Arabidopsis thaliana: one gene and its partners. Each later gene encodes a partner of the first gene's protein in a complex. Each region holds a gene or a part of one and is shown in the gene's direction. Other genes may lie near its edges.

The links.
Region 2: XPB1 (region 1) and AT1G18340 share a complex: the UniProt entries of both Arabidopsis thaliana proteins name them as parts of the 7-subunit TFIIH core complex.
Region 3: XPB1 (region 1) and AT1G12400 share a complex: the UniProt entries of both Arabidopsis thaliana proteins name them as parts of the 7-subunit TFIIH core complex.

What each region holds. Positions count from the first base shown.
Region 1 is NC_003076.8:16,549,104-16,552,858, forward strand, and holds the start of XPB1 (DNA repair helicase XPB1-like protein), read left to right. Parts: upstream 1-2,015; 5' UTR 2,016-2,233; coding exon 2,234-2,243; intron 2,244-2,330; coding exon 2,331-2,374; intron 2,375-2,470; coding exon 2,471-2,543; intron 2,544-2,625; coding exon 2,626-2,794; intron 2,795-2,876; coding exon 2,877-3,099; intron 3,100-3,203; coding exon 3,204-3,260; intron 3,261-3,591; coding exon 3,592-3,735; intron 3,736-3,755. Other genes in the region: XPB2 (homolog of Xeroderma pigmentosum complementation group B 2), read left to right, coding at 1-18. UniProt on the Arabidopsis thaliana protein: ATP-dependent 3'-5' DNA helicase/translocase; binds dsDNA rather than ssDNA, unzipping it in a translocase rather than classical helicase activity. Component of the general transcription and DNA repair factor IIH (TFIIH) core complex.
Region 2 is NC_003070.9:6,311,902-6,315,656, reverse strand, and holds the start of AT1G18340 (basal transcription factor complex subunit-like protein), read left to right. Parts: upstream 1-1,725; 5' UTR 1,726-1,922; coding exon 1,923-1,953; intron 1,954-2,076; coding exon 2,077-2,165; intron 2,166-2,246; coding exon 2,247-2,529; intron 2,530-2,798; coding exon 2,799-2,845; intron 2,846-3,038; coding exon 3,039-3,076; intron 3,077-3,162; coding exon 3,163-3,208; intron 3,209-3,307; coding exon 3,308-3,361; intron 3,362-3,445; coding exon 3,446-3,514; intron 3,515-3,621; coding exon 3,622-3,698; intron 3,699-3,755. UniProt on the Arabidopsis thaliana protein: Component of the general transcription and DNA repair factor IIH (TFIIH) core complex, which is involved in general and transcription-coupled nucleotide excision repair (NER) of damaged DNA and, when complexed to CAK, in RNA transcription by RNA polymerase II.
Region 3 is NC_003070.9:4,219,781-4,223,365, forward strand, and holds AT1G12400 (Nucleotide excision repair, TFIIH, subunit TTDA), read left to right. Parts: upstream 1-2,046; 5' UTR 2,047-2,230; intron 2,231-2,506; 5' UTR 2,507-2,515; coding exon of another isoform or gene 2,516-2,550; 5' UTR 2,551-2,589; coding exon 2,590-2,823; 3' UTR 2,824-3,085; downstream 3,086-3,585. Other genes in the region: AT1G12390 (Cornichon family protein), read left to right, coding at 567-638, 1,188-1,369, 1,449-1,571, 1,665-1,701; CLP2 (CLP protease proteolytic subunit 2), read left to right, coding at 3,319-3,368, 3,460-3,503. UniProt on the Arabidopsis thaliana protein: Component of the general transcription and DNA repair factor IIH (TFIIH) core complex, which is involved in general and transcription-coupled nucleotide excision repair (NER) of damaged DNA and, when complexed to CAK, in RNA transcription by RNA polymerase II.

The sequences.
Region 1 (3,755 bases):
AAAAAACGTTATGTTTGAGACAAGAGAACTCATATTCGGCTATATGTTTTGAGTTGTAACTTTGGTGCAAATTTGTTTCAGGCACAAAATCAAGAAAACCTAAACGAAGACACCCTACCTTAAAAGACCGTTAACATTTGATATTTGTTTTATTATGTGAATTGATTAATTGATATTAGAAAGTTCTTTCCTTTTTTTTGATATTTGTTTTCTAGCATATCATGATATCGCCTCGAGAATACCTTTGAAAATTATTTTGTTATTGTCAACTGTCATGATATCTCGCTGAACCAACATATAAAACACGATTATAATTTGGTTGACAGATCCTGAACAACAGTAAAACGTACTTAGTTTTCGAGGTTAAAAAATAATTACTTGTCATGATTTCGAATTAAAAATAATAATGGGCTCAATTTGAGATTAAAGAAAGCCCACGCTAAAAGAGGCCTACTAAATGCCCATATTGGATCCGTTATTGTAGCCTTTCTATATATGAATCGAGTTTGCATTTCTGCTATAACGTTCTCTGCATTCACATGATCACATCAACTCAGTAACGGACTCGACATACCCGGACCTGGACCCGACACCGAATCCGAATCATAATGCGACGGAGACGCAGCTCGCTTCTCGGTCTAGCTTACAACGGAAAATATTTACGGTACCGTTTGTTTTCCCTCTGTCGTAGAATTTCTGTCTTCGACACCGGATTGATATAATCGATTGAAAAGACAAGAGATAATGTCTAAAATTGATTCGATGAAGAGAAAAAGATCAATATGGGGAACGATAAAAGTCTCGATCTTACTGATTTTGGTTAATTTTCATATTACCCTGCAAAAAAAAGTATTGTCAATTCTGGGGAATTTTGTTGTTCAGGTGAAAGATGAAGAAGACCCGACTCTGTGTGTTTTTTCTTTTAAGTGTCGTACTGATGAAGAAGATCTGGGTCAATTAGTCATCCGTTATGGCCCAGTTGTTAAGATGTTATCCAAATCGTAAGAAGAAGGCCCGACATGTTTTTGAGACGTTGGTAAGAAGAAGGTCTTGCTTCTTTTGTGCATCCAGATAATGTCTATATGACCAAGGTAAGAGCATCCTCATTGCACATCCTCCAATGAATGTCTTTCATATTAAATAATATTAAATTTAAAGACCCTCTCTCTTTTGACAGGTAAAATGTCTACTATTAAGACACATCCATTTATTATTTTCCACTTTTTTAAGTAGTTTAAAAGTTTAAAGACACCCATAAAAGATATGCAATGAGGATGCTCTAAGGGACCGAGATTATATACTGCTGCAGATGGGGTAATGTAATGCTATTTGTCTTGTGCAGGAGCGTTGGATGTACATTGGTCTCCTCTTGGTTCATACTTTGTGTCACTTGAGAAGGAGAAGAACGTGGCAACTCTTTGGGCATTGAATCGTCTCCCATTCTCAGACCATGTACATTGCACAATTTTTATGAGTATCATAAGCCCAAAAATATTAAATTAATGAATAAAATAACTGATTTGGGTTTAAGTAGTATCACTGGAGTGATTTCTTTGATACCAGTCTCTGATAACGTGGCGGGTTATGATTAGTTGGGAAAACATGTTTTTGTGTGAAAAGAGAGAAATTTTTTTTTTCGATTAGTCGGGAAAACGCATCTTTTCGATTTTGCAATTTTTTTTTTTTAATGATACTAATACGATTTCACCGGTGGAAACAGATTTATTATCAATATTATAAAAAGTTTCAAACAATAAATAAACATTAAAATTAATAGTAAAATATTATTAATGGTACTCTATGAGTACCAACTATGTGCATGCTCTCATGCGCTTTCCTTCCTCATCCTATGGTTTGTCTTTCATCTCCCATTTTGCATATGTAAGAATAATCTTAGAGGCTAAAAGAAAAAAGAATGGGCTCAACGTGAGAATAAGAAAGCCCACATTAAAAGAGGTCTATTAAAGCCCATATTTGATCCGTTATTTATTTGTAGCCTTTTGAATCTTCTACTTTACATTTCCCTTCCTTGACATTAATGATTAAACCAGTGATACCCGAACCCGACACCGAATCCGATTCAAAATCCGCCGGGGACGCAGCTACTCCCTCCGCCAAATAGCTTTCAACGGTAAATTTTCACGGCGCCGGTTGTCTTCCTTCTTTGTTCTTCTCAGGAATCGCTAATTGATAACTTCAATTGGAAGATACAAGACAAAAAAAGAAGATCAATATGGGAAACGGTATTAAGCAGCTCGATCTTACTGATTTTTGCTTAGTTTATCTTGCCAAACAAAAGTATGCCAATACTGTGAAGTTCTGTTGTTCAGGTGAAAGAGGAAGACCTAACAAGAAGATGAAGTATGGTGGCAAGGTTCGTCTTGATTCTTCTCCAGATCAATTTTTTATTTTATCAATTAGGGCTCTTCAGATGGTAGTTAGTGAGTGTAATTGTACTGTCAAATCTCAGGATGATCAAAAGATGAAGAACATCCAAAACGCTGAAGATTACTATGATGATGCTGATGAAGACTCTCGTGATGGTAAGATTGTAGCATACTTATTACTTACAAATGGATACATTTGGAACAAAATTGAATTGAAAAGTTATAATGGTTTTTGAAGGTGAAGGAGAGGAGAAGAAGAGAGATTTTACTAAATTGGAGTTGAAGCCAGATCATGGAAACAGGCCTTTGTGGGCTTGTGCTGATGGAAGGATTTTCTTGGAGACATTTTCTCCTCTCTATAAACAAGCTTATGACTTTCTTATCGCCATTGCTGAACCCGTTTGCAGGTTCGATTTTGATTTGGTGATTATATCAATGTACAAGTTATGATTTTTGTTGTTGATTTTCATTCATTTGTTACTATTTCAGGCCTGAGTCAATGCACGAGTATAATTTAACCCCACACTCGTTGTATGCTGCTGTTTCCGTTGGTCTTGAGACAGAAACTATCATTTCTGTTTTGAATAAACTGTCTAAGACTAAGCTACCCAAGGAGATGATTGAGTTCATCCATGCTTCTACTGCTAATTATGGGAAAGTAAAGCTGGTTTTGAAGAAGAATCGGTATTTTATTGAGTCCCCATTCCCAGAGGTAAGTTCATTAGGCTGATGCTCTGTCTCTGCTCTTGTGTATTTGGATATTGGTTTTCGTTTTTCCATTGCCTTTGCTCAATTGTAAACACAAAACAATCTCAGGTTTTGAAAAGGCTTCTCAGCGACGATGTTATAAACCGAGCTAGATTTTCTTCTGAGGTATGTTGAACTCCTCCATTTAGTTCATTATGTTTGCTTTCAAGATTTTATGCTGGATGGAAATACATACCATTTTTGGTTGTTCTCAACGGTGTTTTGCATCTTTTGTCACCAGTGTGGCAGATATATATATATTTTGATTCTCTCAGGTTCTTGGTTTCATGTTTATATTCCTAACTCCTAAGTTCCTTGGAACGATGTTTCAGTTGGTAAATTAACTCATAATCCTTTTTTCTTAAACTCTTGATTCATTGACTGTTGATTTATTTAATCTAATACCATTGTATTCTCCACAGTATGTCGAACCAACTTAGATTAACTTTTTTGGTAGCCATATTATGGCGGTGATGGATTCTCGGTCGGCAGAACATGCGGTGAACTTGAAGCAGGACCCGGGGAGCTATTGAATGAAGCGGAATTTGCAGCAGCAGCAGAAGAGAAAGAAACTCACTCATTTGAGATTGACCCTGCACAGGTAAATTTCTCCTAATGCTT
Region 2 (3,755 bases), on another chromosome or scaffold:
GATGGTGATCGAAGAGTGATGGAAGTTGCAGTTTTTATATGGAGACTTGAGTGGGATTTAAGTGAGGAGCCTGGGAAGCTAATAAATCTTTCCATTAAATGTTAATCACTCTTTTTTGTTCTTTATCTTAATTATTATTTGTTGAGTTGTATCTAAAAATGGCAACTAGTGTGTCTACCGTTTATGTTTATCTTGCACGAGGTTAAATGCATGGGACTGCTATCTGTCCTACTTACCCGGAACCTGGCTATAGTGGCTTGTGTATATTGAGATAAATCTACGCAATAATGATTAGATTTATATACATTTAAAGAGTTTGTTTTAGTGATTTTGAATGGTAACTCAATTATCAAAGTTTGTTACAGCCTGTATCGTGATAATTACAAATTACAAAGGCGTTATAAAAGCGTTACTTTTAACGTTTTGCATTAATGATTAGATTTATATGCATTTAAAGAGTTTGTTTTAGTGATTTTGAATGGTAACTCAATTATCAAAGTTTGGTACAGCATGTACCGTGATATTACAAATTACAAAAGCGTTATAAAAACGTTATTTTTAACTTTTTGTACTACTTATTTATATAGTTTTGCATTCTAATTTACAGCTAAAACAACTTTAAAGCTTTGTGTTACCTATCAGAATCGTTATCTTCACATTCAAACACATAATCCATTGTTGTTGAAAAATAATAATACTTTCAAAACATTTATTTTAGTGATATTAATTTGACTTGATAGTAAGATTATTATTTACTCATAAAGACATTGGTGGAATTTAGTTATATAATTTTCATATACTAAACTATAGGAGATTTTAAAGTTTAATGTGAATTTGTGAGGTTCAATGTACCTCGGAGGCTAAGGACTTCTAATGAAAATGACCAAACAATAAGTTATATTTAGGCCATCATGCAAAAGCTTTCCAATGGCCATCGCCATTAATATTGCCAAGTTAATTATTAATATGATTTTAGTAAAAACTATGATTAGATCTTCAGATTCTTAGTGGACAGTCACACATGACCCTACGGATTACAAGTATTTAGCATGTCGATTGTCATGCGCGTATATATCCAAAGAATACTGAATAAAAATAATATGAAGTCAATCAAATGAATAACAATCAAATTATATGAAGTCAATCAAACCTTTATGAATGTGATTTGCTTCTTTTTCCAACCAAAAAACTTGTTTGTTTATTTGTTAGTTGTTACTCCCAAAAAAATGTAGTAAGCTTTTTATGCCCCATGTATTATATATCAAGACGATCTCCAAACATGACTATAGTTTCATAGGATGGATTGGATATCAGGACATGTGTGAATTTACTAATTTTTAGTATTGAAACAAACAACATTTCAACCAAAATTTTTTACCATTAAAATTAATATATCGACGTCCGATAGTATAAAGCTTGAATAAACTGAATTTCGTATCAGTAGCCAGTTTGAAAAATAAATTTGTTCCTTGAGATTTTGGTGTTCTTTTCCAAAAGAAAGAACAAAGAAAACAAAAGGCCCTTGTAAAAGGCGGTTTAGTTCATAAAGAAAACTGGGCCTATCTAAAAATTTGAACTAATGCCATATTTGGGCTTAGTAAGCCCGGCTTACGATACGACGTTTATAGTCGGATCTGATTCGGATCCAAACCCGTTTGATGGATCCGGCTCCTACCAAATCACTTCAGATTTCTGTATAAGCTAAAAATCCTTGAATTTTTCAGTAAGTTACTATAGCATCCGAGAATTTCATTCTTTAACTCTGGTTCGTAATCGGAAAACTCAAAGACCTGTTGTGAAGATATATTGGAGAAGAAAAAAAAAACGATTTCCCGGCACTGAAATAGCATTATCAGATCTCGTTCCCACCGGGAAGATTTCCCGGCACACTGAAATTCTGACTTGGAATCGTCTGTGAAACTATGCCTGCCATTGCTTCTAAGCAGTATTCAGGTTATTATTAAATTCCTCTTACTTCGAAACCCTCACATTCCTCAATCGTATAAGTATGTAGATTAGATATCCCAAAAACTGGAAACAAGTCTGATTGGCTCGTGATTGTTTTTTTGGTCGCAGACGATGTTAGTCTTCTAGTTTTGTTGCTTGATACGAATCCTCTTTTCTGGAGCACTACATCGATTACCTTCTCTCAGTTCCTTTCTCATGTAAGTGTCTCTAACGAATCTATTGTTTGTTTGTTCAATGCTTCGATTTTTATGCAGAAAGCTTGCTGCTGTTATGTGTAGGTGCTTGCGTTTCTTAATGCGGTTTTGGGGTTAAATCAGTTGAACCAAGTTGTAGTTATAGCTACTGGATACAGTTCTTGTGATTACATTTATGATTCGTCTTTGACATCAAATCATGGAAATTTCGAGAGCAATGGAACTGGAATGCCTGCAATTTTTGGTTCTTTGCTTAAGAAATTGGAAGAGTTTGTTACCAAAGATGAGGAGCTCAGCAAGGAGGAAGTGTCTGAGGATAGAATACCTTCTTGTCTCTTGTCAGGATCACTCTCCATGGCTCTTTGCTGTATCCTCTTGGAAAAGCATATAGCATCATGATAGGTTTCTTGAAGCTATATATAGTACAAACTATTAGGATTTGTTTGCATAAGTTCTGGCAGTGATCTTGAAGCTTAGCTTTCTCTCTAGACTGGGTTAAGTAAGGAACATTTTAGGTTGACATGTTTGTTCTCAGCTAAACCTATAGCATGTCTAAGGCCATCAATGTTATCTGGTAATATATGTATTTGATTTTCAGTCTTCACATTTTGTTGTTGACTTAATTTATGGCTCTAGATATACAGAGGGTTTTCCGTTCTGGACATCTTCATCCCCAGCCTCGGGTGAGTGTTCAGTAGGATATATGTATCAATCAGTTGTCTTGGATAAAACTTTTCATGTTGATTGCTTTGTATGAATCTTCAGCTTAAAGTATTAATGAGAATATAGACTCCTTTTTCTTATGTGTTATCTGTTCTATCGTATACCCCCAAAATACAGAACTGATTGTGCTATTGACGTTTATATGAAATACAGATTTTATGCTTGCAAGGTTCCCCAGATGGCCCGGAACAGTATGTTTCTTCCTTCATTTTTTTTCTACTTGCAAGATTTTGTCTTGTTTGTCTGGTCTCATTAAAAGGTTTTGTCATTCTTTCAGGTATGTTGCTGTTATGAACTCTATCTTCTCTGCCCAACGCTTGATGGTAATCTTCATTTTGATTGGTTCTTTGGGATTTCCGGTTCTTGATGTTCTCTAAATCCAGTATCATGTACCCAAATCACTTCATCAATTGGTTCTTTAGGTTCCCATTGATTCGTGTTACATAGGTGTACAGAACTCAGCATTTTTGCAGCAGGTAATATCATTTCTCCTTTATACATGATTCTAACTCGTCAAACTGGACCTATGCGTCAGCTGTTATCTCCTGGCTTATTTGTAGGCATCTTATATAACTGGTGGTGTACATCATACACCTAAACAGTTGGATGGGCTATTTCAATATCTAACGGTACGCAACTCAAGTCCAAACGCAAACCATTATGTGACTCGTCTCTCATTTAGCGAACTCAATACTCAATGGCTGCTAACTCTGGATTGTTTTGTTTTGCACAAAAGACAATCTTTGCAACCGATTTGCACTCCCGCGGTTTTGTACAACTTCCTAAACCCATAGGTGTAGATTTTCGCGCATCGTAAGTGATCAAGTCATTAACTCTTCAATTAATCGGGTCTTCCTCTGCATATATAAC
Region 3 (3,585 bases), on another chromosome or scaffold:
AAAGAAAAATACATGGAAAAGATGAAGCTTGTTTTTCTTCGTACTAGAAAACAGCTGGCTTTTCTCAATCACATGATTGAATGGTTTCTGGTACCATTTTTGTTTTTAATTTTTCATTTTTGATTTCCTTAAAACTATACAATAAGACAATGACCTAAAAAAAATTATACACGACTCAACAAAAATTACACGGCTCTCGTGCCCAAACCCAAACTGTTTACTATTTAATTGGGCTAAATCTATAGAGGCCCAATGGCTTATAAATCATAGATTCATAATACTGAAATATTAAACCGGCGTAAATGGTACGTACTTCGGGAAATAACGAATTCGATTTTAACCGGAAACTGAACCGGAAGCTGAGTCTCGTGCCTGCCTTCTCTAGGCTTCTTTGTTTCCGATCAGAATCTCGAGCTCAACTGTCAAAACTAGCCGACCACTAAGTCGTTGTCCTAACTTTCTCTCTGTTCCTCATCGAACATTATTGGGAGGAGAGAGAGAGAGAGAGAAGACCAAGAAACAACGAGGATAGATCCGAGGAAATTGTCGGAACCAAAAGGAGGAAGATGGGAGATATCTGGACATGGCTTATTTCCTTCTTCTTCCTCATCGCTCTTGTCGGAATCATCGTCTATCAGGTGCGATTCCCAATTTCTAGGATAAATAAACCCAAAGTTCTTAACTTTTCTATCGGAATTTGCCAATTTTTTCGCTTACGGTTATAATGATACCATATTTGTCCATTTTGATTCATTTGGAGCCTTTTTTTTGTTTCTGGGTAGTCTGTGATTTAGCTAGAATTAGGGTTTTATGTTCTTGTCACATGTTTGGAAGAAGTAAAGGTGTAATTTTTGGGAATGTTATCATCAAAGGAGTAAATTCAGGAACATATATAGTGCGTATTGGCTTCTCAAAACACTTTTATAGGTTCATAGTTAGTTCTTATGTTGGATGTTCATGTCAGGTCTGAGGATTTACCTCCTTAAGCACAGGTTGTTCTTTTATAAATGAGCTCCATTTCGGCATAATGAAGTGAACCCTTTAGTTTTGTTTGTGTAGACTCTAATGAGAGGAGTCACTGAGACTGATAAGCTAGCAAACGGAATCTTCCATGTATAAACAGCTTGGGAAGACATTTTCTAGGAAGCTAACTTCTCTTTTCTGAATTTGAATTCTTTCATTTGCAGCTTGTTTGCTTAGCGGATCTCGAGTTTGATTACATCAACCCTTACGACTCTGCGTCGAGAATAAACTCAGTGGTTTTACCGGAGTTCATTGTTCAAGGAGTTCTATGCGTATTCTACCTCCTAACAGGACACTGGTTCATGACACTCTTATGTCTCCCCTATCTATACTACAACTTCCATCTGTAAGTCCAACTAATCTCAATCTTTTGCTCCAATCAAATGTTGTGGTATTGATATCCTTTCGGTTTCTCCGTTGTTCAGTTACTCGAAGCGACAACACTTAGTAGATGTCACCGAGATCTTCAATTTGCTTAACTGGGAAAAGAAGAAACGGCTGTTCAAGCTTGCTTACATTGTCCTTAACCTCTTTCTCACTATCTTCTGGTAACGAGAAAGATATTTCGAATCCCATTATTGCTTAACCATAAGTAGATCAAGAGAGCTAAAACACTTTCTGTTTGCAACTTTTTTTCGTAGGATGATTTATTCGGCGCTGGATGATTACGAGGACTGACTAATGAAGAAGACATGGTCCATCTTCTTCGGTTTATTGACACTACGCTTAAAGATACAGCGACATGCTTGTGGACATGAAAAAAAGCAAGGAAAAGTGTTTGCTTTGTGATGTTTGTAAGATTAGTGGCAGGAAGATTTGTGTATTTATTTCTTTCTTAGAAACATGTTCAGATTAACTGTTTTTTTTATGTCTTGATCATTATTTGTACAAGCAATCAAGCTCGTAAACTACTGGTTACAGTAACAATGAAACTGAATAATTTCAAATATAAGAAGAAAAAAAGTTAATTCATGTGAACTTTGACTTTTAAAAGTGAGAAACCCTTTTGAGTGATGTAATAAACGATAACTTAAAAGATGATCCGAACCTTCTGTTTCAGTTTTGTAATTAGGTTATCTTATAAAGCTAATCCTTCTCTCCTTTACTGTGACAATAATCGTCGTTATCAAGGTGATTTCTTTCTCTGCCTCAAACATCGCTTACCCTCTTGATTGATTCCTCCAATCTTCTTCGTGTGGTTTCACAGGTGTGTGGTTGATCTCTAGACCAAATTGATCTGGTTTCATCCTATTTCTATTTGGTCTGTAATCGTTAAAGTCTTAAGATTTGGGAATCGAGTTTATGTTGTGGTGTTTAGGTAGCGAAACCCCAGTTATGTAATCGTTGCATCTAGTAATTTGGGGTCCTTGAATTGAAACAAAGGATTAATCTTTCATTCATCTATGTTCTGAGTTATCGAGGATGTTCTTGGGTCATCTTTTGATGAAAATTGAGCTCAGATTATTCGTGTTTTGTATTACAGGTTTTACTTATGGTTAATGCAATCAAAGGAGTGTTCGTCTCTTGGTACTTCTTACCGTTGTTACGATTCCTAAGCAAATCTTGATGAACACAATTGAATCATTCATTGTTTCTTTGTATCTTTTGTTTGTTTGCAGCGATATTCCGATGACACAATTCATAGTGAACATGAACAATTCGATGCCTCCGTCTCAGAAATTCATAATTCATGTACTTGATAGTACTCACTTGTTCGTGCAACCACATGTAGAGCAGATGATCCGCAGCGCCATTTCTGATTTTAGAGATCAAAACTCTTACGAGAAGCCCACTTCTTAGATCACATCACATCACACTTGCTTCTTGTTTTTCTTTCATTTGATTCAAATGAATAAAAACTTCATTGAGATCGTGAGATTGGTTGATATGGCTCATGCTTTAATAGAGTTAAAGTGAACTTTGTTGACAAATAATCTCTCTGTACCGGTTTAGTATCAGTCGGTTTTCTCTGGTTGTGTTGATTACTTTGTCACTCTTTTGTTGAATAAACACGTTTGTTTGGTTATTGTTCAATTACTTGTAGTAGATAATAAACAGATTAAAGAATTCGGAAGTTCCAAATTTCATTTTACTCATGAAGGATGAACCAAGTAAAATCAGAAACTAAGTTAACCACATACAATTTGCACATGTGAACCAATTCGGTTAAGCAAACCAATAAACCAATCTTCTTCAACAAATTACCCAATCTGTATGTAAGCTTTTCCACTTCTTCTAGTCTTAAAATAAAACAAACAAAAAATCTAGTGTTCGGCTCTAACACGCTCGACGACCATGGCGGTCTCGTTTAATACAACGCTTCACCAGCCTTCTCTGAGTCCGAGGTAATCTTCAATTTATCTAAATTTACATACTTTTGTCTCTGTTCACACATATTCACTTGCATCTGATTGCTTTGTTATGTCCTTTTTGCAGCTGTAGCATCAAGCTTTATTCTGGGTTAAAGCCTCAATCTGCAAGTTTGTTCCTTTTCCTCTTAATATGTCCGAAAGTTCATGTTTTTAATCGAATTGGTCTGCGAGATGTGAGGGAACTGATTTA